Linked DNA regions of Oryzias latipes. The protein of the gene in region 2 purifies or fractionates together with the protein of the main gene of each other region. This does not show direct contact. Links are inferred from orthologs where the notes say so. Each region holds a gene or a part of one and is shown on either strand. Other genes may lie near its edges.

Region 1 (4,299 bases), on a different chromosome or scaffold from region 2:
AACAAACATTTCATGTCGTTAAATCCAGTTACCTCCTCTGCAGTTAGTGGGACAGTCACTCCTTTTTTGGATGAAAAAGCACGAGCGCCTGAAATGCTGTTGGTTTTCTGACCTGAAAGGAAGCAAATAATAGTAAAACCAGACGTGTCTGGAGCATCCACAGACGTTCCTGAAAGACTCAGGCATACCTGCTAATTTGTTTCCGTCTGAGTTCAGTTTGAATCCTCGCCGTTCCATGTTTTCCAGGACTGCATTTTTGTTCTCTTCTTTCCCCCAAAAGGACAAAATGACCGGCATGGTGAACGAGTTGTTTTTTCCGTAAGGTACGACCCTGACAACCACACAGGCAGCGGCGCTCATATCAACTCATTTATGTTCTGTTTTCATCTAAAAGTCAATTTAAAAACAAAACGACAAAAAACCTAATATACATTAAATAAATGAACAATCACAACTAACGTTTGGTGTTCAACAAGAACCCTAATGTTATAGGATGTCTTTCAGAACTGAAAAGCAATATACTTTTATATTTTCAATTTCACAATTTCTTATTTGGTCTAAAATTACAGAAAAGGATTAGGGCCATAGAGAAAGAAAAAAAAAGGGCAAAGAAAATTCTGACGTTAATTGCAGTATTGTGACTTTTTTTCCTCCAATTATTGGATAAAAGTACATCAAAAGAAAATGTAATAACGTATACATGATAAGAAAAAAACAGAAGGAGAAAGAATACGGTAAAAAAAAAAACAACAACATCAAATCTTAAAATTTAAAAAAAAAACTAAAATTTAACTCTTCTTGCTTTAAGAATGAATTATTGAAAAACAAAACAAAATCATGATTTTATAATGTTCTACTAATGAGACATTTACAAATTAGAATAAAACGAGATTTGCAATTCTGTTTATCCATTTTACGGCAAAGTTATGCCGAGACAGAAAAAACTGGCAAATAACCAGAAAAGGCATCAATTCCTGTTGTTACAACCTTTAAAGACCCATTTTGATCTGCTTTCAAAGGGTTTCTAGTGGTCTTTTAATTATGATTATGCTGTTTTTAGCCAAATTCAAAAAAACTTTGTTTATCAGAAATTCCCCTACGAGTTGTCGGTGGAACCATTGGCGTGGAGTAAGCCCACCCTCATTTCCCATCATCCCACTGTTTACACTCTCTCCTGCTACCTTATGTCTCCCAACACCCCCAACCATTACCAGTGCGACAAAAAGGGGATACAGTCGTACAGTTTGGAGGGAGACGTCAGCTCGGATGAGGAAAACAAAGACGTACATGGATCTGTTACTCTGCAGGTGGATGCATCAGAATGCAGTAAATAGGTTCCACATCACAGCTACAAGCTTCTTCAAATGGCACCTTTTCATATTTTTTCTATTTAATATTGAGAAATGCCTAATTTAAGCCTAATTTTCTTTATTGATGTCCTCCATCATCAAAAAAAATACCAAAAGGACATGTTAAAAAACTCCCCAACACACAACTTTCATCAGAGTGGGTCTTTAAAAACTTTTCCAAATTTTATGGAAAGCTCTGAACGTATGAGGAGAAAACCTAAGCGACACAGTGACCGCACCATGACACTCACCCCTCCACTTTAGCCAGGTTGTTGTCCATGACATGGGCCATGGCTGCAGCCAGTTCCCTCTTGATGTGTCCCACCTGGTTGCCATAAACGTTTGCAACCATCACTGCATTGCAGTCGTATGGGTTATGAGGTTCTCGCACCAAGCCCACCATCTCACCCTGGTTCACCTGTCCAGAGAAGAAACCCTCTGAAATGTAGGAGTATTTTTTATGTGTGTGTGTGGAAGAGACAGTCTGACCCTTACCACGCCTGTGTAATATCTGAGGCCCACCACAGAACCCCTCAGGTGGCCGAACAGCACGCTGCCGTCAGCATCCGCCGGCTCTTCGGACGCTGCAGCTCTGATGGCCTGGGACAAAGTCTCATGGCTGTCTGTGAAGAGGTCCACGTCAACGAACCTGCCCCATCCAGACCTCCACCTGTGGGAAAGCATACCTGCAGACAAAAAAAGACGGCAAAGATGAAGAGTTCTGTAACAAAATAAGGCAGTATTTATTTTATATTTTTCAGAAATAAATTATTCTGTATGTAAATAGTATTGAATCCTGCACTAACCAAAAAGCTTCTAGAACAGTTGAAACATGGTCACATTTGAGACTTTAGCAGAATCCTTTACCTATTTTATTTTTTAATCTGTTTTATCTTGCTATTATAATGGCTTTTTTGACATTTTTGATAATTTTCCTGGCAAATGTGAAACTTTTGGCATTTGCACATACTAGTATGGATTGTAATGTGTGATATTCTGTATGTGCAATATTTGTTAATAAAGTTTTTTTTTATTTAAAAAAAATGATGGTTCTGTGGAAACTAACAGTTGCAGGCAGCGGTGCACAACTTAAATTAACTTTCTGCTAGCTCTCATGTTGGAGGTGAGATGTATAGAAGCTTCATACTACTTTGTAGTTTAATTTTCGTTTCAACTACAGTTTTCGAGAAAACGAAACACAGCCATTCTTATGGAAAGTAAAGTAGGTAAGTGTTACTAAGCTAGCACGCGCCGTTTGTTCTCGTGCTAACGGAAGAACACAGAATGTAATAAATATCAGCATATAATAACGAGGCCTTACTTTCGATCTTCCTTCAGTGTTGATAGTTTTTGTACGGTTTCCCTGCAAGTATCCTGCTATCAACTGCGACACAATGTTCACAGCACTTTCAAATGAAACACATCTGCGCCTAGAATAATCCTTCCGTTGTTAACTTTCAAAATAAAACCCAATGACATGCTTTTTGGTGTTATTTTTATTTTTTTATTTGTTTGTTATAGCTGCTTGATGTAGAACTTTGTATAATATAAGAATTTAATTCTGAAGTTGATAATAAAAGTTTTGGTAAGTGCAGTATGTTATCAATCTTTTATGTGGATGCACTGGCAGCAGTCGTCATTTATCCTGTCTTTGCATTACAATGTCATTTTTAGTATGGTTTTATTTTTGTTTTTTTCCATAATTATCAAAAATGAAGATTGTATCTGCATTACATTATTATCACTATTTAATTTATTTTATAAAAACAGTACACCGGGCTCCTGAAGGTATACTTCATCAGTGTACTTCATCAGTTATATTTCATAGTTCATAGTTATAACATAGTTATATTTTTCATACACAAAGAGAGATTTATCATGATTTGATATGGTAGATATAGAAATATTTGCACAAAAATGTAAAGCTTGTGCAACATAAAGACAACAAATTCAACATTTTATGAAATTATAATTCAGATTATATATACTGTGAGCTATTATTGTGTGTTTTTTAGGTGTATTTTTGAGCTCTTAATGATAAAAAACAACGACCCTCAATTATTCATGTTGGATATTTTGTTTTGAAAATCTAAAGAATCCAACTTGTTGGTTCCGTTGAGGTCAACACACATGCGCAGTGCATATCTGTTTGAAGATACACTTTAGTTCTTCGTAATCGTTCTTTCACCGATGTTGTTTGGAATTATATTGATTATATCTTTCTCTGCGCGAGTTTCATATGCATTGCATTTAGCTAAATTCAGGGAAAAGTATTTACATTTTTAATTTTGATTAAATGTGAGCGCTACGGGTGCCGCTAGGTCCCGAATCCTCATGTTTGTGCGAGGTTCCGCTTCCTCTTCTCTCCACCAGGTTCCTCCTTGGACCGAACGAAGCACAGAGTGCCGGGAGAGAAAAAACGACAAAAGTCCACCGTGTCTGAGAAACCGCCGTTTCTCTTGACGAACGTGGAAGTCTTCGCGAAATCTCCGGCTCAAATCTGGATTTATAGTCGGATTCAAAGTAAGTAAGCCACTGGAGAACGTTTGAGGATTTACCCAGACAGACAGAGCAGAAATTCAAATTACGACCTGCAGATACTTGTTGGCACAACACAGGTGAGCTCTATAGTTTATATGAGTTATTGGATCACTTTTACTGTCACTTTGTTGGGACTTCCTTTCTCTTCCACTTGTAAAGAAACCAACTTATCGATCTGTTGAGTAGTAACTTAGTTAAGTGAAATCAGTTCGGTGAAATGATCCCTGCTCATACTTTTTTTTTGCAGTATTTTCACTTTTTCGTTTTTCAAAGCTTTGTTGTTGTTATCATGGGGAGGCTTAGACCGTTTTAGTGAAAATTCATTGGTGTTTTGATTATTTAATAAGAAAAACAAAGATCAACCAATTAAAAGCTGCACTGGTTCTTTTTTTTCTATTAAACTTTATTT
Region 2 (4,240 bases):
CTTTACTGGATTCAACGAGAAAACCTCGAAACTCTCTGGGTCGCACGCATCAACATTCAGTTCCTCATTCTCAGAGGTTTTCACTTGAGATGAGAACTGCAGAAGTAAAAGTTTCAATTACTTACGGTGTTCTGCGGTTTGCCGAGCGCCATGTGTGCTTGGACAACTTCCAGCATGTGTGAGGTGATTTCATTCATGTCCTCCAGGGGTCTGATACAGAACGCCACCATAGACCTGTGGTTCTGACACAGGAAGGCAAACACACATTTTCTGCTAAATTCAAAAATGAGTAACTGAAACAGCAGCAATGAACAATCACAAATGACCTTAAGACAGGTTATAGGTGTTTAAAAAAGCAAATAAAGCTCTTTAACAAGTTTGGAGGCTATAGGTGTTAAACTAAGGAAATGAGGCTCTTTAAAAAAAGTTTGCAGCTGCTGTAAGAACCTACACTTAGCTCAGGAAAGAGGTGACAAAAGCCTAAACCTTCATTTTTTGGGACGAAAGCACCTTTTAGCTAAATAAAGAACTGGCAAATCAGTGACAACCATTTTTTAAGTTAATTCATGCAATAACTGATAAAAGACAAAAGTTTCCAATTTGTGTGGCCCTAAAGCGTGGCCCTTTGTTTACAGTGTTAGGGCCGCATGAAGAAAATAAGATAAAAATAAAAGTTGGCAGGCCCTGTAATACACTTACTTGAAAAGAGCGTAGGTTTCCAGAGACTTTGACATATGTTCCTGGAGGCAAAACAGTGCTGTCCACACTCGGATCCTACAAAATAAAACCCAATCAGAGAAATTATTTTCTAGAAACCGGAAGTTAACTGAAATAAATGTTAAAATATATATTTTAATGAAACCAGCAATGACAGCATCAACAATGATAATAAAGATGTAGATTTGATCAAATGTTGTTTATAAACAACAATGGTCTGCAGACTGTGTCTCTTATGAATCATATTTAGCAAGGGGTTGTCACCAACTGACCTCTGTATCCACCCACTGCTTCACATCCATAGGAGCACCTGTCATGTCATCAACCCTGTACTGGATGTAGGTCATGGATTTGTCCGTGCTTCTGATGATGCCAACAATGGTGACCTATGACAGAGATGTGTAAAAAGGCAATAAAAACAATATGAAAGTACATTTTTGTTGTTTTTTGTTTGTTTGTTGCCAAGTGTTATGCATTAGTAAACACTAAATTTAAGACAGAAACCTGTCTTGATTTTTCAAAATAAAGGATCTGGAGTTGGTCTCTCTTGTTCCGAACAGATATTTTACTGCTGCTTCCAAGACTTAAGTTTGGATCAATTATTTAAACACCAGTCGAAAGGAGAAGTTCTACATGTGTGTAGCAGAATACGTTGAAGTTTTACAATCGTGGTTATAAAATATTGTTAAATATTAATTTAAAAAAATTAATTAATAAAAAAAAAAAACATTCTTTAACCCTATGATGCCTGACTTTACTTCTAGCTATGAAATAAATCATTCATGTTTTTGCTTTCATGTAGATGCTAAGTTAAGGTAATTTAAGATGGAAGTACTTTGATGCATATTTGCTCAATAAATGTCAAACAGCTTGCCAAACAAAAGATTACTTGTTCCAGATTTTCTATTTTATTTTATCATTATTATTGTGTTTTTTGTAAAGATCTGCCACATAGCAAAGAAAGGTAAAAGTCCATAACTTACTGATGCTTTTGTTTCCAACAAAAAGCTTACAAATATATTAGGAAAAAAGCTAAATCTATTATTTCCCAATTGATAAGGCATTATTTTTGGACTCATTGATTTTTTTTTTAGCTCCAATTAACTAATTATTACCGTAATTATTGAGACTTTGTTTTACTGTGACTTGGTCCCCTTCCCTTCCATCGTTATTAAATATATACATAGGTCTGTGTTTTTTTTATCTTTTTAAAGAGAGAGAGTAAAATCAAAATTATATGATATCTAATACTTTACAGTAGACATACTCTTTTGCATTTTAGGTTACCTGGTTAACCTCCACTTCTCCCACTTTAAAGGCTTCATCAGCCTGAGATGCAGACATCAACTGAGACACTGTGCAGGGTATAATTTGAGTGGAACGGGTCCTCTGGTGATGAACAAACAGACAGAAGGATTTCAGTTTTTACTAGCGTTACCGTTATGTGCTTAAAACAACACTCAAGCATACAAGACAAGTGCAATAATAATATAAAAACGGTTTATGTTAGGTCAAAGGGACAATGTGGAATTAAAGATGTTCAAGCTTTAATATGGATCACTTTTAACTACCGGTGTAAGTTTTGAAAGGCACCATCACTCTGTCGGCATTGTCATTTCTCACCCCTTTCTTCTCTCCTTGGGACAAGCCAGGCGATGCAAAGCCTCCAGGAGACTGCGTGTAACCCCCAACCATTCCCGACTCACTGTAGCCTCCTAAAGTTTCAACACAGAAATTGAAAGCAAGTGAAGCAAACTCCCTTTTCGGCATATTTACAATGTTAATGGAAGACACATTTGACAACAAACTATTACACTTGTAAGAAATAAACAAAGAAGCCACTTGACTTGAGTGTTAAGTAAAGCTAACGTTAGCTGTACCAAACAACACAAACATGCCAGTGTGAACGATGTAAAGGCAAACAAACAACTTGGATACGACATTTACCTTGATTCCACATGCTGACACTTCGTAAGTAATTCTTAAAATGCAAAGATAATTTAGTGACGGGGTGAAATCGAGCAACCAACTTGCTTAACGACCTGATTCCCGCGCGCCAAACTCAATGTAAGACGCATGCGCGTGGGATAATTCCCGCGAAACGTTTCATCGCGAGAGGTATATAGATAATGTACTGGCCCTGATTTTTGACTGTCAGGCATTTGCCACGGTTTTGGAGTAAACATTCCAATTAATGGGGAATTTCCACCGTTTTTTTCTTAAACTCTAACATTGTTTTTATTTCATAATGATTGTATTATTTTAAAAGATCTAATAATCCTTGTTTACTAAGAAAATCTACACCTGATAGAAATATTTCGGGAAATAACAAGCAAATTATGACGCTATCGCAAAGAGGTGGAACATGATGATCTTTGTTCCTTTCAATTTAAAAAAAAAGGTTTTCTAGTTGTAATGAGCACTGGTGCATGCGTAAATACTATAACTTATCAAAATCTCAAAAATTACAAATATAAAAAAATAAAACGTGAAAGGTATTTTGTGTGTGATCGTATGGTCTAAAATTTGAATTGCTTTTTAAGGTAGCCTTTTGCTTTTGTGTGTCTTTAGTTTAAATAACAACAGTAAAGGTGATAGGATTGTGTAATATTTTTCTCAGCCTCCAAATCCGCAGCTCAATAAACATAGGCTAATCAGTAACACCCTGTATTAGTATGAACTTCTAAACTTTTATTTAATTTGAAGAAAAACAATTTTCTGTTGAAAGCTTTAGTTCTGACTTGCCATGGAGAATCAAATGATAAAAGTGTCATTTTGTAGTTTCTGATGGACAAAGAGAGCTATTTTGTAATGATTTAATCTGTCAAAAGTGCTTCTTATCTTAAGCGTTCTCGTAAAAACTAATAATATTGTGTCATAAAACAAGGTTTAGTTATTATGATCCACACAAGCATGTCAGTGCCTTGGTAAGAAGGTTGTGTTGGCCCGCTCTGCCCTTCCTTTATAGACCCTTGCCTGTCTTTTCCAGCACAGCTGTTCTCAGACACTCAAACATGACAGCAACAAGCTTTTTCTTATCTTGTCTGCTTTTCAAAGGAGCTCTTGCTCTCACTGGTAAGTAGAGCCTTGTGTAACCAGCGTGTTATAGATGATTTTGTGACATTTACTTACTTCGCCTATGTGCTGATCTTTTCCAGGAAGCTTTTGGCATATCACAGATTTGCACTGGGACCCAACTTATGAAGTGACAGATCAACCGGAGCTGGTGTGCGCCTCTAGCGGCAAACGGCCTGCTTTGAGCGCCGGTAGATTTGGAGACTATGTTTGTGACTCACCATGGCACCTGATCAATTCCTCTGTGTATGCCATGAAGAGCATTCTTCCAGACCCAGACTTCATCATCTGGACAGGGTACCTACTTTTCTTCTTTACATGGTAACCTCTGTGGGTTTTTTCTGTGCAATTAGACTAATTTCCCACCAAGATGTCTACTAGATAACTAATATACACTTATTCTAGGTGTCTACTAAACATCTCAGACAACTATTTTGTTCCTTTATTA
Region 3 (3,937 bases), on a different chromosome or scaffold from region 2:
TAAAAAAAAGATTATTCATTTTTCATTTAATTTCATTTTATAAATAATAATTTGAGAAAATGATCTCAAAATGACAAAAGTGTCTTAAATAAATCCAGAGGAACATTTGATGAAGTTAATGTGTGATTGACCTAATGCTGGAAGTCAGAAGCTGAGAACCATCTCACATGTGAAAAAACCTCAATAAATACATTTGTAACACAGGAAACTTTTCCCAAAAGCAGCTTTAAAGCCCAAGGCAAGAGTCATTTGGAACCGCCACAGAGGTTAACTCCATATTTTCTTTGAAAGTAAAGCTTTTGAACACATTATTTACTATTAAATAACACATTTTAACATTAAACCTACTTATATTTTATCATTTTTCTGAATGAAAACAATTTATTCTTAAAATCTTTTTTTTTAAACGTAAACATTGAGATATGAACAATATTCAGGCAGCTTTGGTCTTGCTTTTCTAAATTGCTATTAAAGAGCAAAAGAAAAGAACACAGACAAAATTTCTTATGCAAGTATTTTGTCACCTTTTTGTTGTCTATATTTCCGCAGAATACATTTCTCTGCAGACTTCCTTTACAAGTCGGTCGTCACTCTGAAGCGCATTGAGACGACTGTTGTTGTGATTTAGGGCTATATGAATAAAATTGAATCGAATTGAACTCTGCTGTGTAGCTGATGACAGCAACTCTCTCCGCTCAAAAGGTAAAAAGTAAAGCAAAAGCTAAAAATTCTTAACAGGTTCTTAGTTTGCACAGACCTGGTAACAACTTGATGTGTGTAGACTCTGTTAGGGCTCCCAAAAGCTTTGGCCAAACCAAAATCTGCCAACTTCAAGACTCCGCTACCGTCTAACAGCAAATTATTGGGTTTCAGATCCTGCAAACAGAATTAATAAATTACTTAGAATAAACAGAAAAACCAAACATTACAAAAGCATGCATACCATGAACAGTATGAAAGTATGAAAAGTAGTGTATGAAATACAAGTGCACTAACCCTATGTAGAATCCAGTGCTGGTGCATGTATTCTAATCCCTGTAGAGTCATAAGGATGTAGGCTTTGATGTTGGCTGGAGTCAGCACCAGGCTGGTGTCTTTAATGACAACCTGTTATTAAAATAAAAAGGCAGTTAGAAAGAACCTTCCTGTTTGCTCCCAAGTAATCACCATCTATTAACATTTAATAACTTATTTTAGAAGTTATTAAAATTGTTATTAAAAGAAGAAGAAAAAACAATTTTAATAACTGTAAGCCATACTGAAAATGTATTTAGATTTCTTAAAAAGTATAATAAATAAAATGACAAAGGAGACACATGCAAATCAGCTAAGATTTGACTTAAAGATCAACACAGCAGGGCCCGTATGTTTTCCCTTTGTCGAATGTTGAGAAGCAAAGGCTGTTATCTCAATCAACTCATATTACCTGAAGTAATCATGTTAAATATGACTCAAATATTCAAGGTTTTCCTAGGTTGATATAAGATATGTCTCACAGTTTCCACCCTTCCTGCTTCGCTAATGTAAGCAGCTAATGGAAAAAGCTCAATGTGAGTGAAAGGCAGAGGGATATGCCCCCCCCCCCATCTTAGACCCTAACACATCAGAAATGGGTAAAATATGAAGATGAAAAGGAAGACAAATATAAGAATATATCTTTGATTTTGATTTGAAATAGTTTATTTCAAGCAATCAAAGAAAAAATAATGCACAAAACAATACAACCAGCAGTTTTACATTCATAAAAAGATGTATTAAACTTAGGATAATTAGACAGTAAATAAAAGATTGCTTGAAAGGAAGTGGATATAGACACATTCTCACCTCTAGATCTGTTTCCATGAAATCAAACACCAGACTAATGTTTGATTTATGCCCAAATGCATCCAGCAGCTACAAGAAAGGGAAATAAAAAGCACAGTTAGCATTAGACAAAATGTTTATTCACAACTAAGCAATAACATAAGCTGCCATTCAAATGTTTTTAGTAACATGACTAATAGACAGTACAGTTCCTCTAAATTGTAATTGTGTCTGTATGTTAACAGGAGCAAATTCAGTTCAATACCCCGATGATATTTGAATGATGCAGCTCCTGCAGCAATTTGATCTCTCGGAGAGCAGTTCGATTTATACCTATATAGGTAAAAAGAAGCACAAACAGTTGAAAAAACAACACCAGCTTTGTCAGTAACGACGTGCAGAAAGGCTGCACTTACCATCTTTAGCCTCAGTTCTGTGGCCTACTTTAATCTGAAAAGTAAACAAACAAAAGATACTAGTTTGTTGATAAACAACAACCCATAATAGACCATTTAAAAAGTACAATCACCAGGAAGAGCCCGTACCTTTTTAATGGCAACTATTGTGTCAGTCAATTTATCTCTGGCTTTGTACACAGTGGCGAACTAAAGAAGGAACAAAGAACATAATGTTTAGTTTCCCAGTCTTTTTTCTTTGTTTGTTTTGTCATTGTTGCTGATAAAGTGAAAGTATTATTATTTTTTAAATGGTCTAATTGTGTTTAAATAGCAGCATGGCCAGGTTGCTTTGTTGACATTAGGCATTGGCTAATGCTAGTTAGCTTAAGAGCTTTGTCTCGGCAGATATACAATACCAATACGGCTTTAAATAAAAAAAAACAGGTTTTAAATTACCATAACAGTTTCTGTCCTACCTGACCCTCTCCGAGAAAGTCCAGTTTCTCATACCGTTTGGATCTTGTTTTCACATCCACAGACATGTTAGCTAACTGTCAGTTTCGGTAAATGACACTTCCGGTCACGTTGAGGGTCCTCACAAACTGTTTCCGGGTGAATTAGCTTTAAATAAAACAAAAGCGCCACCTGTCGATTGAATTTGTACAACACAAGTCGTTTGTTTTGGAGCGCTCTTGTGTCTTGTTTTGTTTAAACATAAAATGAGATAATTATGTCATAAAGTATGTACCACTAGTGTGTCATAATAGATAATTGAATGCTGAAATAAGGATATTAATTTATGAGGAAAAATTAAAAGCAACTTTCATAACCCAAGTTCAACTTCACCATCCACTTTGACAATGCACTACTACACAAATAAATAAAGAATGAAAAAATGTTTTTACATTAAGTAGTGAAATTAAGTTTACTACAAGTACCCATGGTCTATTCTACAAGTTAGTCAGTATATTATAGTTACATTTTTAAATACAATCTAGGGTATATATTGTAAACTTAAAATGTTCCTGAAAGACACTAAATGTTCCGATTTAGTCTGGAGAAGTGTTTAATTATTTACAATTAGTACACTGTAAGTGCAGGGTATATAGAAGACTTACTATACTCATACTTATACTCAAGTAAACTTAATTAAAAAAACCTTCAAGTCCACTATTATTTGCTAAGAGTTACGAAAATGTCCTTAATTTGGTGGAGTGACAGCACATCAGTGTAACAATCCCAACTCAGTTTTAAGATTTAAAAACTCCAGCTGCTTTTGAAAAGATCTAAAAAGATTTCAGATTTGTTTAAAATAGTTTCTATGTTTGCTTACTTGTAGCCAATCTGTCCATAATATTCAAGTGTGTTTGTCCAAAAACACAATAGGCTCATGAGTAGATTTTAATGGCTCGATGTAGTGTGCACCACGGTTACATTTCTCTCCGTTTTTTTCTTTTTGCCATGCAGTTTCTCTCTTTTTATTTTGTTTTATTTTATTTGAGCAGTTTTAACATTGGTCCCTTGAGTGCCTCTTCTGTCAGTTAGGAAGATTTTGTGATCCATGCTCCACTGAGCACATCTCTACATCCCATCTCCATTCACAGTAAGATACCCTCACATCCCAGAGGATTAGGCACGGCTTCTCTCCTTTGACCCTCCTTGTCTCCGTGCCTGCACACAGCTGCACACACAATACACACTCACAACTGATTTTCATTTTAATGTGAGGTTGACAA
Region 4 (3,130 bases), on a different chromosome or scaffold from region 2:
CCCACAACTTATGAGTCACGCATGACTCACCGAACGTGCCAGAAACACGCGCGCTTCTCAGGAAATGCGAGGCGCGCGCAGACGCAGGAGCTACTTCAACCCCTTTTACCGGGAATCTGCGTTTCTGCTCCGCACTTCTGACGTTTACATTTAACGCATGTTTGGGGGGGGGGGGGGGGGGGGGGGGGGGGGGGTTCTGAAGAAAAGAGTTTCTGACCGAGCTCGCCAACCACTGTTTTCAACCAAGGATCGGTCTTTCCTGATCCACCGGGGACCAGCCCGGAGCCTCCTGCCTCCTCCTCAAGGTCAAGCCACCAGTGAAATGATGAAGGCCAACCGTTGAGTTTGGGGATTTTCACCTCAAACACAGGACTCAACATGAAAATAAACGAAACTGAGTCATAAATTGAAACCAAAACTATTCTGCTGATCCCCCATTAAACCAGGACTCAACAGGAAAGCAAAAGCAAAGACCTCATGAATAGAAAAGGAAACTAAACCTGGAGAACTTTCAGGTTTATTGCATTAAAAGTCTGTTGCAGAAACATGAAATAAAATCCTGTCGTCTTTCCGCTAAGGTGTGTTTTCATCAACAATCCTAACAACTGTCAAATTTCCAATTACGTTTTAAGACACTTGAAGGTAAAAATAATCTAAAGTTCGTTTATTCATCTATAACAACAATAATTAGGAAGGAACTTCTTGTCCTGCATTGAAATTCTCGGAGTCACTGAAGGCAGCACGGTTTCTACAGCAGCATCACCTCCTTCCACCCGACCCTCACCAGATGATGTGAGCTTGTTGTTAGATCCAGGAGGGGAAATCTGAAATTAAATGCTGAACATCCTTTCTAGGTTACTGTGGTTACAAACTCCTACAAGACTTTTTTTTTTAAATAGTTCAACACCTCGTCTTGCAAAGTGCAGCTGCATCTCTCCAGCTTTTCCTCCAGGATCTACAGAGTTTAATCGGCAGGTTTCAGGCGCTTGCGGTTCAGTTTTGCCAGACGCCGTGTGCTTCCATCCAGATCAGAGGCGGTCATCTTCAGAAGGTTTGGTGGTGGACCTCTGATTGAGATGTAAAACACGCTAAAGTAGTATTACTAGAGAGGTCACCGCTGTGGACAGGTGACCCGGGTGTGTCCCGGCATGTGGCAGTTGCCACAGTGGCGAGGTTTCTTGGCGGTGGGGGGTTTGTTCGAGTCCCCCATCACTTTCCTTCTTCCATCTTCTAACCTATTGAATCCACCATCTGAAAGAGCAGGACAGGTAAAACATCAGAGCCGCTAAACCTCACCTGACTTCAATTATAGTCGCTTCTTAAGGGACAGAACAAGAGCAAACTTTGACAAATACCAAAGACAGGAAGGAAATCATAAAGAAAACTGAAAACACAGAATTTGGTTTTGATTCAAAATGCAAGTGTGCAGGACCGCATTGAGTCAGTGCAGATTTCCTGTTGATATCATGTTTAGACTCATAGTGCTTGTGCCACTTCTTGCAGCGTGCTCCAAATCATTATGCAAATGATAGTTTTCTATGATTTTTCTAAATATTCAATCCAACTGACAGTCAGCACAGTTTTGATGTCACTAACCATCAGAAGATATAATGAATGTTATTGAACAAACCTCCTAAAGATAATATTTAAAAAAACTTTTAAAGTCAGTGTTCCACATTATTTCACACAACAGAGTTTCCCAACATTTTAGAGCTTCTAAAGAACTGAAATCAGTCATTTGTTGAGTTTGCTGCATTAGGAGGTCATATTTACTGAAATCAAAAACTATTCCAATCGAAAACACCTCAATAGGTCAAGTTAGATTTGAACATAGGACCCCTTATTTTGTAGCAGCTCCACAATTCTTGCATCCATTGAACTTGTGAGTTTTTGGAGAGTTTCTTCTTGAATTTCTTTGCAGGATGTCAGAATAGCCTCATAGAGCTGCTGTTTGGATGTGAACTGCTTCCCACCCTCGTAGATCTTTTGCTTGAGGATGCTCCAAAGGTTCTCAATAGGGTTGAGGGCCGAGGGAGGATGGGGGCCACACCATCAGTTTCTCTCCTTTTATGCAGCCAATGATGCAGAGGCATTCCTTGCAGCATGAAATGGTGCATTCTCATGAAGATGATTTAGTTACAGAAAGCACGGTTCTTCTTTTTGCACTCCACTGTATCTGCAGGTCTGAAGTGTGTGGAGTGTTTTGATTTGTTTTCTTTAGGGTTTAGTTGTTCTTGTTTACCCCTTTATGTTTCTGATGGTTTGATTAAAATCTTTTGTGTCTCTGATCAGTTTAGTGTAAGACATGTTCACCTAGTTTCCAGGCCTTGCGTTAAAATTCAGCTTTTTTTTGGGGGGGGGGGGGGGGGGGTAAAATAAACCCAAACTTGCATCAAACACGTCTGTGTTCTACTCTGTGCTCTCCTGCCTCTCTGCTTGGTCTCTAAAACACGGGTGAAGTCTTTTGATCGCTCAGTCCAACCGCATTCCCACATATTTACCTATTTTGGTGAAGCTCAGGGTTTGATGGCGTCACATATGATGGCCAAGCTAAAAAATCCTGCTTCCAACGTGTCACATGACCGCACGGTTTGTCCATTCTTACGGTAAATGTAGTCATGGCTGTACCTCATTAAAGTGGGGGAGTTTCAGCAGCACTGCTGCTTGCTTATCTGAAAGCACAATCTGTAAAATTATCTGGAAAAAAGCTCAAATCAGACGCCAAACGAAAGCACAAATCTGTGCCCCCATCTGTAATGAGTTTCAGATTGGTGCTGTTTTGAAAGAGATAATAAACCATGTCTGATGTAGTAACAGAGCTGTCAAAAACAAACAAAAAGCCCCACAGAACCGTCATCAGATGAAAGTTGATGATCAAAAAGTCCTGTTTGTTCTGACCCAACAGAGGGAAGTTGAGTTCAGGGGGACTTGAACTATTTTGGACAAACTGTCTCCGCCGCTACATGAAGGGGAACGTATGTGATGTGGCAGACAGACAATTGCCTCTGGAAGAACAAGGGGAAGTGGCCATAATGTCAACATAAAAGCTGCATACCAACCAGAGAAAAAGGTCAACGTGAGTTCAGGGAGGAGGCAGACACATGAATTGAGGTCAACGGCTTTACAGTGA
Region 5 (4,288 bases), on a different chromosome or scaffold from region 2:
CGAGCAGTCGTGCGTATACGTGGAGCTGCTCCATTGATCTGTGCGGCCGGAATGGAGCGCAGTGTAAACAAAGCCGCTCGTCGTCTGAAGGCACCCGGAGAAGCTGGCGCAGAGGGCCAGGGAGGGGGGGCTTGTATGGATAGGAAAGTGTGTCGCCAAGTTGCGGTGTGTCCTGCGCCTCTGCCCGCCCACAGAACCCGAACTCACCGTTCCTGATCCCGGTGCTGCTCCCTGTAACATGAAACGATCCTGAAGAGCGGAGAGGAAAGCGCCTGTTGTTGGCTCATTAGCTCATCCACCACAGATCCCACGTGGTCGGAGCAGCCTTGCAGGCATCGGGTCGCGGGTGGAAGAAGGATCCTACCTGGGACGCCGCAGGCTCATTCAGGAGGCTGGTGGTGGAGTGGCAGCTCGCTCCGTCGCTCCTCCCTCGTTCTCTGGCTTTGGCTCGTCCCCGCTTTGTTTTGACGTGATGCAAAAGATAATCTGGACGCGTGGACGCGCTTTGTGGTTACAGCTGCGTGCATGAAAGGGAAATTATAAAATGTTTGGAAGAGGAACAAACACAACTTTTTAAGGCATCGCATCACACGGAGCGTGTGTGACGAGGAAAGCGAGTCTCACTGATGACCTGAGCGCAAAAATGCGTAAAATGCGCCACGTTGCCCGGGATTACACTATAGTTTCCCCCAAAACGGCATAAATATTAAACCATCAGATAATTTAGTATAAACTCATTGACCAGATGCGAAAATTGGCGCAAGATGTTTGTATTTTAACTGAACGAAAAACAAATAAACGTGTTTAAACGGCAAATTGAGACATAAACTAGAATATGACCTGATTAAAAAAAAAGATGTATAAATGTAGGACAAAAGAAAAAATATCAAAGCAGGAACAATTCTGCAAAATGATGAAAAAACACCAAAACCCACAAAAAACAAGAAAAAAGGGCATAAAATCGTAAAATGTTTATACAATTTGTGTAAGTTTAGTCATTTATCTCCAAAGATGAAAAAAGGCCAAACGAGAAAATCAAAACAAATATGATACCGAAATAAAAAAAATAGGAACAAAAATCCGAAAGATTTTTCAAGGAAAAAAAATAGAAAGGGAGATGACGGTTTTTCCCGTAAATAATGTAGACTTCAATATCAGCATTCTGTTTTTCTGATGGTCTGTTGGAGATCTTAGGAAGATTTCCGAAATGAAATTAGACAAATAAAACGAATCAAAATGTATGTTATTACTATTATTATTACTATTATTATTACTACTATTATTATTATTATTATCATCATCATCATCGGGGGGTGGTGGGGTGGGCTGTTTTTTTGTTTTTATGTTTGTTTGTTTTCACAAACCTTATAAGTACAAAAGGCACAAAAAGTACAAAAGGTTAAACATTTACTATGGTTTAAGATTAGAACAGTTTGTGAGCAATTTTTGCTTCACTTTTTAAAAATCATATGTAAAAAATACTAATAATAGACTGTAATGTTGTTACGTTTTAGGCTATTTCAGGTATATCTCGTTAATGCAAGTATCTACCCAAAAAAAGACTGAAAACAGATAGTTGCGATGAAGTTAAATGCATTCTTTTCACTATCTAACATGGGTAGTTTAAACATAAGTAATATTGAATGCGTTCCATGTGTGCTTATATCAGTTGAAGTGACTAAAGATCACTTTGAAGAATACATGTTAAACTGATGCCAATAGTTGAATTTCCGTTTACCCTGATGGCATCATTTCATCCTCTTCCGGTTCTCTAAGCGGGAGGTTCAAATCCTCGTAGTGTAAATGCTAACTATTCAGGTTCGTTTTTAACACGGAAAACACATTTTAAATAAGGTGAGTTGTGTCTAAGAGCATTTATTGTAGAATTTTATCTCCTAATAATGGAATATTAGCGAGCGTGCTAAAGCTAGCTTGATCTCCTTGTGTTTTTTGGCTAGCTTTCTGCGTCACTTTTTGCATGATTGGGTGAATTGAGATGACATTTGAAGTACTAGCTGCATGCAAGTTTGTGTTTCAGGCTAGCCATAATGTCGGCTGAGGAAAGGGGCTTCCCTGCACCCACAAAGTTCGGACAGGTTAGTCGATTTACAAACGTACAACTACAACGCCATGATACGATTGAGTAGATGTGCGCATGCTCCACTCACTTAGCTAGAAAATTGGATGCTCCTATTCTCACATCATCCCCATCACTGTAAGGATGCATGCAAGATAAGTGGAACCACCATCTCCTTTAATGTGTTTATATAGATTCATTAAGTGCAAAATAAAATCCTCAAGGCTGTAATAAATAACGTGTAACTTGTTTGTTTACCTTTTCTTCTGTGGCGTGTTATACTGTTCTGCACCCACCCAGTGCACCTACACAGCAGAGGAGTACCAGGCTGTCCACAATGCCTTGCGACAGAAACTGGGACCAGAGTACATCAGTACCAGAATGGCAGGAGGAGGCCAGAAGGCAATTATAGCAAACATATGTTCATTTTTTGCCCAAATTATTCTCTATCTAAACACTTATTCCTAATTGTTTTTGGTTTTTTTTCACCAGGTGTGTTACATTGAAGGACACCGTGTCATTGGCCTGGCCAACGAGATGTTTGGGTACAATGGATGGTCTCACTCCATTTCCCAGCAGAATGTCGGTACGAGAAGCTCAACTCCAAAGCGTTCAGTTCAATTCCGCAAAGCAGATTAACAGTCAGAGGTTTTGCTTCCAGACTTTGTAGACCTTGTCAATGGGAGGTTTTACGTGGGAGTCAGCGCCTTTGTCAAAGTGCAGCTGAAGGTTTGGCGTTGTCATTTGTTTGAATCTGCACCTATAATCCCACAGTGAATGATTTAAAGTACTGTCTAACAAATCTCCTGCCTCTAGGATGGGTCGTTTCATGAGGACGTGGGATATGGAGTTAGTGAGGGCCTGAAATCTAAAGCTCTGTCTCTGGAAAAAGCCAGGAAAGAGGCGGTCACTGACGGCATGAAGAGAGCACTGAAGTCAATAATTCACACAGCAGTATTTATTACTTCATAAATCAATTAGATTAATCCACTATTTGACATAAATATCTGCTTTTTTTTTGTTCAGATGTTTTGGTAATGCCCTCGGAAACTGCATCCTCGATAAAGAATATCTTCTTGCCATTAATAAGATCCCCAGACAGGTCAGACTCAACATATGAAGTAAATTCTCCTTTAGTCTGGATTATTGTCTTCCATTTATGGTTCTAAGATTTTCATTTTCTGTACAAAGCCTCCAGCACCTTTGGACCCAGCAAAGACTAAGCGTTCTGAAGGCGAACCGTCAATCGAGAAGGCCCGGTTCAGCAGTCTTGGCCGAGAGGAGAAACTACTATGTGCAGCGGGTTCTTCCAGGATGCCACTAGAACCCAGAGTATTGAACCAGAATCAGTCTGAACTTCACACACCGAGTGCTGCCAGCTCTGTTCCCAACGTAAAGAGTGAGGATGTCAGCTCCAGGTAAAAAGTAAAAGCTGCTTTGAGACCCTAGCTTCCCATACAAATTCACATCACCTTCTCTCACTGTCCTTCTTTGAAGATCTTTTGGGTCAGAGGTGCACACAGACCCTAAACACTTACGAAAACTCAGACAGCAGGAACTTCAGCAGAAGTTCAAGAAGGAGATGGAGGCCAAGAAGCTCCAGCAGAACCTGGATCAAGTCAAGACAGAGGAGTCTCCGGCACCTGGTGAACGGCGATCCTCTGGAGGTAAAGGTTTGGAGAGGAACAAGTATGGAGGCAACCTGAAATTTCTATTCCATTCAATTACAGTAGAAAAATTCCCACTCCGATTATCTCTTGATCTATATCAAAGTGTTCCCAGTGATTTTGATTATGCTGTTTTTAGCCTTAGAAAAAAAAAACATGTCATTTTTAATGAGACAGATCAGCAGTAGTTCACTGAGTTGTGGATGGACTGTTGGCATGGGGTAACCCCGGCCCCTTTCCCATCATCCACCTGTTTTCATGCTCATTATCTATCAAGCCGTACATTTGTGCCAGGTGCCCGCTCGGACATCTAGTCGTCTACAAGTGGATGCATTAGAACAGGGGTGGGCAATTCCAGGCCTCGAGGGCTGGTGTGTCTGCATGATTTCTAGATAGTCTTGCTCTACTCATGGCTGATTACCTGGTTCAGGTGTGTCCAGCCAATCAGAACATGCCAGAGCAGGGTATGCTGGAAAACATGCAGGAATGCGGCCCTCAGTGCCCACCCCTGCATTAGAATGAAGCAGAGCTTGTGGCTGTACAA
Region 6 (2,348 bases), about 17 Mb from region 2:
TGACACAGAACATGAACCGTGTGTGATTATTGGGCTGTGATTTGTGCGTCAGTTACGTAATTTGAATGCGAAACGTACGCCGTATACGGGAGATAAAAGTTATACATCGGTGGTTCATGCGTTAAAAGTCTGTTAGACATAGCCACAAATTTGTGTATCCCAAAAACCACACACAATTGCATAAGATTTACATAACAATTGCGGATAAACTACGTAAAACATGCATAACCTGCATAATTCTCAATAGACTAAAAGTCCGGAAATCATGTAAAGATCCTAAACCCTCGACAGACATCTGAGCACATCGACAGATAACTAACACAAGAAACACTTTTGAATTCCGTAAATCACGCAAGACTAAAATTTCATACGTGGAAAATGTACACAGTGGCTGAGTGACGTCACGTAGCCTTAAGATAACATTTCCTAAATGAGAGAAAGCACATAACTGACAACCTAAACCAATAAACTGAGGTTTTCATGTGTGCTAATAAATATTAATGTTATTGTTGAGTTTCTCCAAATCCACTGATGTCTTTTTGCTCGGCCAGAAAAGGCAGTTCCTTCTATCCCACAGGTCCAGAGAATGATAGAAGAGGCCTGGAAAGCAGGTGTGGATCCACAAGGAGCATCCCACTTCAACCACCGCCTGCAGGGAACACGGGCCTGGATCGGGGCCACAGAGATCTACGTGTTGCTCACCTGGCTGGGTGTCAGGTGGGACGGCAGCTCTTGCTCCATGTGTAGGCAATGAATTGTTGCTCATGAGCATCATCGCGGTGTTTACCTCCAGAGCACGCATCATTGACTTCCACCAGCCTACGGGCCCCGGGGACACCCATCCCCGGCTGTTTGACTGGGTCAGACAGTACTTCCTTCAGTCCAGCCAGAGCAACAGACTGCCCCCCAAGGTCATCCGAACCAGCCTGCCCCCACTTTACCTTCAGCACCAAGGTAAATGGATGGGGGAGTGTGTTCCAGCAGAGGCTTATTTACATAAAAAAAACTCCTTTGAAAATTTGTCACCACATTTGGTAATTCAGTTGTGAAGTCATGGTTGCCATGGTAACAGTGTTGTTCATACCTTTTATTTTAGCGTCTTTTTCCTCTGAACACCAGAGATGTTTGATGTTCACCAGAGCTCTTACACTTTAGGGTGGGGGCTTTATGCCCATATTGGGTAATTACAGCTGTTGGCTGGAGATCAGAACAACTCTGACTGTGGAATTCCTGTCAGCACGTCTGCTGCCGTGTGAAAAGTTAGTTGTCTACAGGTCAGGCTGTCTTCGTCTTTTGCTCGCGGTTGCCATCGGTGATCGCAAGAGATGCCGTCGTGGTTTCTCGAATTAATTGAGGAGTTTCGGTGTGTCCACTTTGGTGCTATATTTGGGTTAATTTGTCTGATTAGTGGTTCCATCCCTTCAGCTTCCTGCTCTGTCTGCAGGTCACAGCCGCTTGGTTGTCGGCGTGGAGCAGAGGAAAAGCGGCGCCCTGGCCCTTCTCGTTATGGATCCCGGATCGAAGCTGTCACTAAGCACTGATGCGGTTTCCGTGGCGATTCGCCACATCAGGAAGTTCCCCAGCAGCCTGAAGCACAAACAGTATCAGCTGCTGGCGGTGCAGGGGGTGCTGTCTGCAGAGGACAAACAGGTACGCTGGCAGCGCACATCCGCCATCACCTGTTTGATCCTGAAACTGCTCTGTCTCTGTCCAGGCTGCTGTCTTCAACTCCAGGACTCTCTGTGCAGAGAAGATCCCATGAGAGGCTCTCCAAGCATCTTTTTACTGATCACAGTCTTCATAATTTGGTTTTAGATGTTTTATAATAAATGCTTTCCATACAAAAGTGTCTGCTGTGTCATAAGGACCTTTAAAAGGATTTCCTTTTTTAACCCAAAAAATATCCGCAGTAAAGAGAAACTAAAAGACAAAAAAATTAAGTTTTATTTAGCAAACTTTGTTGCTCTAAAGACTATGTTCTAGCAGACAGACAAGGTTTTCAGGATTATAGATGAGCCGCATGTTTATCATGTAAAAAAAGTCAAATGCTTATAAATGTATCAAATTTCACAGTTTGCATCATTTCAGTAAGTTGCAATGAATAAATCCAAAAACTTTATTTCATAACTGTCAGACAACAAGAATAAATGCAACATGTTTTTACTCACACTTAGCAAAAACATAAACTTAACACTTTTGATTTTGCTCCAATTTGTCAAGAAATGAACTCAAAGATCTGAAACATTTTCTACAAACACAAAATAACCATTTTCCTCAAATATTGATCACAAATCTGTGACGGTGAGCACTTGTCCTTTGCTGACAAATTCCGGGTGTGGCATTAAAGA
Region 7 (4,273 bases), on a different chromosome or scaffold from region 2:
GGGGAAATGAACAGAAGTGGTTTCCACGTGGTTTTCATATTTGCAGCAAAAGTAAGAACAAAAAAAGCTCATTGATAAACAAGATGTTCTGAATCAGAAAATAGCTGAAGAGTTTGTGTTTTATTTGTTGTTCAAGAGTTTACTACTCCTAAACGTGAAAAAAGCAGATCATGATGCATCACCTGGGTGTCATTGTAAACATTGACAACATCAACAGGCCGATGAGTATCACAGATGAAGAAGATGGAGTCATCATCGGGCTGCAGCATTTCCAGCAGGTCAACATTTGCCCCACAGTTGATGAGAACAAAATAACGAAACTAAAACAAAATCAAAATAATCATTAAGGAAAGATTTTTTTTTTAACATTATCAACTTCAAGTCAAACATAGGAGTGACACTTTTTTTAAAAATAAGTTTACCTGCTCTTTGTGTTCAAGGAAGGCTGTGCCAAGTTCCTGCCAGCCTGTCACTGGAACAAGTGTATACTGGATGTGGTCACAGTGAAACAACGCCTAGAAATAAAAGCAAATAGGAAAATCAGCCATTTTTCCAACACTTCCAAAACAAAGAATTAAATTAGATTTGACAGTGATGAAAGTCAGGCAAGGAAAAAATCCCTGAACTTTTCTTTGAGCGATATGGCGGCGCAGAGAGAAATTTTTGAAAAATACATAGTCTTAGATGCATTCTGGTGCATTCTGGCAGCTCGTTATTCACTTCTTAATCAAGAAACTAAGACTAATAGGAGCATCATGATTTGTCATTCAAACCCCTAGTTTGACTTAACATTAAGGACTTGCTGGTCCTAAAAAAGAATTTGGATCATTGCTCATAGTATAACAATCCTACAATCTAAGCTTTTCCTAAAATCTGCAAAAGATACAATTGCTAAAATATAGTAACATCAAAGCCCCAAATGGCAAAAAGAACACCAGTAACTATGATATTCTATGAAAATACCTCATTTATTTGTACATTATTTCTGCTTTAGAAATGACTGATGTACAACATCCACTTGCACTGTTTTCTCAAACTATAATTACATCAAAATATGGGATCTGCTTTAAACTATAATTCTATAACATAATACATCAATTCTTTAACACCAATACTAAGTAATCTGGGAAATATCAAAACAAACATACAAACTAAGCTAAACATTGTAAACATTATTTTTTAAGGGAGTCTGGGTCCAAACCACCAAATACTTATAATTAATGTCAATTATACTGAACTAAATCATGGTAATTAGGAAATACAAATAAATTAGATAGAGAAATGTATTCAAAATAAAAACTGAAACTCAAAACTAAAAGAGAAATTATTTCTGAATTTGGTTTTGAGATTATTTTACACAAAAAGCATTTGACCTTAAAAATATTTTTCTTCCAGCCAAGACCACTTCAATTTGTTTTTTATCGTCTTCTCACAACTGAGGTCGTGACCACGCTCAATAATGACGATGCCCGCCATTATTTTAACACAAATTTGATCACAAACTCTTCAGATGTGTTTGTGAAAGTTTAGCGTCGGTCCGCCGGTTTTGGTCTCTAGGGAAGCAAGTCACGCTGACCACGTGGTGCAGACAGAGCCAATCAGACCCGTCGACGCATCCGAAAGCAACTAAAACGTCCCGTCATTGGTCAATAGGCCGGGAAGACGAGAGATGGCCGCGCCCATAGAGGAAGCGATCCGCGGAAAAATATAGAAAATAAAGCTAAAATTTGCCGATTACAGACCATTTTTTCATCCGGAAAGCGATTTGTCCGTAGAGATCAGGTCTTTATTTCCCGGAAAGTACGTTCGGTTTGCTCAAAAACCCGGATTTCCGGGAATTCCCGGAAGACTTTCATCACTGATTTGAAAACAAATATTTTATCAGCACCGAATGTCTTCTTTTAGAGACTAAAAAGGTAGTTTAAATCCATGTAAAATAACTGACTAAATAGAAAAACAAACCATATTGCTCTTAAACAGGCATGTCTGACGTTCCAACATGTATATATAATCAATCTATAATGTATAACTAACATGCAGTTTATAACAGTAACAATACACTTAATTAAATAAAGTTTAAAAGCATTTTTCCTAAACATAAAGCAATAAAAAGGCAGAAATACAACTATAAATATCAATTTATTTGTAAAAATCGCATTTGTTTTTACATACATTAACTTGCAATTAATTTTCAAATATTGATCAAGTCAAAATTACAATTTTAGGACTTATATTAAATTGCTTCAGATGTGTAGGTTGGTTGAATTCTGCGTCTATCTATACGGCTCTGTAAAACTCAGAATATTTAATTACTCAAATATTTAAAGAGTGTTTACAAAACTACCGCAAATAACCGCTTTTCTGAGGATAAAAGTTAAACAGAGTAGTTTCTTAAGTTGGCTTATCTTCTTACCTGCAGGATTTTACAGGCACAAAGAGCGTCGATGTCCCCAGCAACCAGAAGTGCAACTCTCTAAAGTTCAGACATACGATATTATGACGAGATGTTAATGTCTCAAATGTACAACTGAACCGAGCGCTTGTACTTGAACACTACAATACTTCATATATTAGCTTGCTAGCAAACAAATTCACAAAATTAGACCTAAAAACTTACTTGGTTGGCAACAACTTCATAAAAATCCTTTTTAATATCTGTGATAAACATGTTGCAATATCAAATATAAAAGTTCCAGATTACACCAGAGCGTTAAAACCAACATAAAATGTATTTGACGGGGATTTGTTTTTGTTAGCTGTCAAGCTCTGCGCTCTCACAGTGGAGTAGGAAATGTTCCGGTTAGAATTGTGGCGCCAAACCTGTGAACCAATCACTTGGTACAAAATTGTAGACGTCACTGGAATCACAACACGCCCACTCATCTGAAAACAATATGGCGTCACACTGCCCTCCGTTCAGCGCATAAATACATTTAATTTAATTTCAATTCTTGATAAATTATTAAACATAAACAAACAAAATAAACATGTATAACTTTTTTTGAACCAAAAGATATTTAATTTTGCTTTAAAATGTCTCTTTGTAAAATTCTGCATTTTAAAATACATAAAATTCCACCCATAATTGTTATTTTAAAGGTTGTGTGTTATTTTGTCATTTTACTGAACTATAAATCAAATAAAAAAGCTTAATTATGACTAATGTAGAATAATTCAAATTTTACAAAACTGCTATAGTTTCAAAGCAAATTGAAATATTTCTCACTACAAAAAGACCCATTGCAAAAATGTGTAGTTAAAATTCAATAGTACTTTTATTTAGACTACCTGTAGGTTGAGAGGTAGTAATTATTTATGTATTATTTGATTAAGAATTTGCTTTTAAAATTAACTAAAATAAAAAAAATTGACTCATGATTTTTCTTATGTAACATAATTTTGCACATATTTTAACTGTTACTTTCACTTGAGAAATTAATTATCATTAATTTTGTTGTTTTGTTATGAGTGTTGTTGAGTGGGGGTTTGGATTTTTATAAAATTTATAAAATTATTGTTATGATGATTTTTGAAACAGTGTTATGTCTATTTTACTGATATAGTATTATTTTTTTAATCATATAAATGACTTTAATAAGTAACATAATCTGCATATATTTTGGATAAATGATCTGCTTTTGCCATGTTGATTTCTAAAATTGTTATTTGTACATGATAGTTTAAGTAATTCATTTTTGTCATGTGCTTTATTGATACCTAAGGATTCTGAATTCTGTCTGATAAAATTTATGAACCGGATGTTGATAAATCATGGTTACGGTAGAACAGGTGTGGGATTATATAAGTTCCCTTCCTTCCACTCCCTTTCAAGCAATATTTATTAATATGTCTAATTCTCCTAAGTTTAATTCGTCATTGTATGAATCTATAACTGATGATTGTATTGTTTTTGTGTACTATTCTTATTTGATTGCTTGAAATAACCCATTTTAAATTAAAAAAATCAAATAAAACTAACAAAATTCTGGTGCTCCCCTCTGTAGTGAAACCTGAATCAGTTGGAGTCTTTCACTCAAACCACTACAAGACCCAAATACCTGTGTACAGGTGCAGAGGTCTAATCGTAAAATTATTTCATTGCAGTGATTGACTCAAAATAATAAATCAAAGATACTCATAGATACGCTGTTGTTTATATTTTGTTGGTTTATAAAGTTGTTCGGGAATTGTAAAAAAATAAAATAAAAGCCACATTTGACATAGCCAGTTTTCAATAAATATTAATGTGATACTGTTTCGAAAGTAAGTGACT

The links.
Region 1: the proteins of rpa2 (region 2) and hltf purify together in Homo sapiens (affinity purification with mass spectrometry, with the first as the bait; 3 studies listed by BioGRID). This does not show direct contact. The link is inferred for Oryzias latipes from reciprocal best matches to the Homo sapiens genes RPA2 and HLTF.
Region 3: the proteins of rpa2 (region 2) and cdk7 purify together in Homo sapiens (affinity purification with mass spectrometry; 3 studies listed by BioGRID and IntAct, with this or other methods). This does not show direct contact. The link is inferred for Oryzias latipes from reciprocal best matches to the Homo sapiens genes RPA2 and CDK7.
Region 4: the proteins of rpa2 (region 2) and top3a purify together in Homo sapiens (affinity purification with mass spectrometry; 4 studies listed by BioGRID and IntAct, with this or other methods). This does not show direct contact. The link is inferred for Oryzias latipes from reciprocal best matches to the Homo sapiens genes RPA2 and TOP3A.
Region 5: the proteins of rpa2 (region 2) and rad52 purify together in Homo sapiens (affinity purification with western blotting; 3 studies listed by BioGRID and IntAct, with this or other methods). This does not show direct contact. The link is inferred for Oryzias latipes from reciprocal best matches to the Homo sapiens genes RPA2 and RAD52.
Region 6: the proteins of rpa2 (region 2) and zufsp purify together in Homo sapiens (affinity purification with western blotting; 3 studies listed by BioGRID, with this or other methods). This does not show direct contact. The link is inferred for Oryzias latipes from reciprocal best matches to the Homo sapiens genes RPA2 and ZUP1.
Region 7: the proteins of rpa2 (region 2) and cdc45 purify together in Homo sapiens (affinity purification with western blotting; 3 studies listed by BioGRID and IntAct, with this or other methods). This does not show direct contact. The link is inferred for Oryzias latipes from reciprocal best matches to the Homo sapiens genes RPA2 and CDC45.

What each region holds. Positions count from the first base shown.
Region 1 is NC_019880.2:5,878,504-5,882,802, forward strand, and holds the start of hltf (helicase-like transcription factor), read right to left. Parts: upstream 2,801-4,299; 5' UTR 2,671-2,800; intron 2,036-2,670; 5' UTR 2,034-2,035; coding exon 1,845-2,033; intron 1,768-1,844; coding exon 1,601-1,767; intron 332-1,600; coding exon 189-331; intron 113-188; coding exon 33-112; intron 1-32. UniProt on the Homo sapiens protein: Has both helicase and E3 ubiquitin ligase activities. Possesses intrinsic ATP-dependent nucleosome-remodeling activity; This activity may be required for transcriptional activation or repression of specific target promoters.
Region 2 is NC_019874.2:22,815,095-22,819,334, forward strand, and holds the start of rpa2 (replication protein A 32 kDa subunit), read right to left. Parts: upstream 2,801-4,240; 5' UTR 2,678-2,800; coding exon 2,665-2,677; intron 2,433-2,664; coding exon 2,341-2,432; intron 2,107-2,340; coding exon 2,005-2,106; intron 1,104-2,004; coding exon 990-1,103; intron 775-989; coding exon 700-774; intron 243-699; coding exon 126-242; intron 1-125. Other genes in the region: smpdl3b (acid sphingomyelinase-like phosphodiesterase 3b), read left to right, coding at 3,732-3,792, 3,876-4,089. UniProt on the Homo sapiens protein: As part of the heterotrimeric replication protein A complex (RPA/RP-A), binds and stabilizes single-stranded DNA intermediates that form during DNA replication or upon DNA stress.
Region 3 is NC_019867.2:13,787,388-13,791,324, reverse strand, and holds the start of cdk7 (cyclin-dependent kinase 7), read right to left. Parts: upstream 2,801-3,937; 5' UTR 2,744-2,800; coding exon 2,678-2,743; intron 2,409-2,677; coding exon 2,349-2,408; intron 2,254-2,348; coding exon 2,220-2,253; intron 2,137-2,219; coding exon 2,069-2,136; intron 1,894-2,068; coding exon 1,825-1,893; intron 1,108-1,824; coding exon 997-1,107; intron 877-996; coding exon 758-876; intron 1-757. UniProt on the Homo sapiens protein: Serine/threonine kinase involved in cell cycle control and in RNA polymerase II-mediated RNA transcription. Cyclin-dependent kinases (CDKs) are activated by the binding to a cyclin and mediate the progression through the cell cycle.
Region 4 is NC_019866.2:19,331,472-19,334,601, reverse strand, and holds the end of top3a (DNA topoisomerase 3-alpha), read right to left. Parts: intron 1,252-3,130; coding exon 1,112-1,251; 3' UTR 501-1,111; downstream 1-500. UniProt on the Homo sapiens protein: Releases the supercoiling and torsional tension of DNA introduced during the DNA replication and transcription by transiently cleaving and rejoining one strand of the DNA duplex.
Region 5 is NC_019864.2:21,084,115-21,088,402, reverse strand, and holds the start of rad52 (DNA repair protein RAD52 homolog), read left to right. Parts: upstream 1-1,488; 5' UTR 1,489-1,854; intron 1,855-1,867; exon of another isoform or gene 1,868-2,026; 5' UTR 2,027-2,048; coding exon 2,049-2,096; intron 2,097-2,377; coding exon 2,378-2,479; intron 2,480-2,569; coding exon 2,570-2,663; intron 2,664-2,738; coding exon 2,739-2,806; intron 2,807-2,893; coding exon 2,894-3,012; intron 3,013-3,103; coding exon 3,104-3,179; intron 3,180-3,268; coding exon 3,269-3,495; intron 3,496-3,574; coding exon 3,575-3,744; intron 3,745-4,288. Other genes in the region: proline-rich protein 5, read right to left, coding at 208-240. UniProt on the Homo sapiens protein: Involved in double-stranded break repair. Plays a central role in genetic recombination and DNA repair by promoting the annealing of complementary single-stranded DNA and by stimulation of the RAD51 recombinase.
Region 6 is NC_019874.2:5,464,977-5,467,324, reverse strand, and holds the end of zufsp (zinc finger with UFM1-specific peptidase domain protein), read left to right. Parts: intron 1-551; coding exon 552-717; intron 718-793; coding exon 794-954; intron 955-1,444; coding exon 1,445-1,650; intron 1,651-1,714; coding exon 1,715-1,762; 3' UTR 1,763-1,848; downstream 1,849-2,348. UniProt on the Homo sapiens protein: Deubiquitinase with endodeubiquitinase activity that specifically interacts with and cleaves 'Lys-63'-linked long polyubiquitin chains. Shows only weak activity against 'Lys-11' and 'Lys-48'-linked chains.
Region 7 is NC_019867.2:6,361,976-6,366,248, forward strand, and holds the start of cdc45 (cell division control protein 45 homolog), read right to left. Parts: upstream 2,801-4,273; 5' UTR 2,669-2,800; coding exon 2,618-2,668; intron 2,474-2,617; coding exon 2,414-2,473; intron 516-2,413; coding exon 423-515; intron 321-422; coding exon 183-320; intron 1-182. UniProt on the Homo sapiens protein: Required for initiation of chromosomal DNA replication. Core component of CDC45-MCM-GINS (CMG) helicase, the molecular machine that unwinds template DNA during replication, and around which the replisome is built.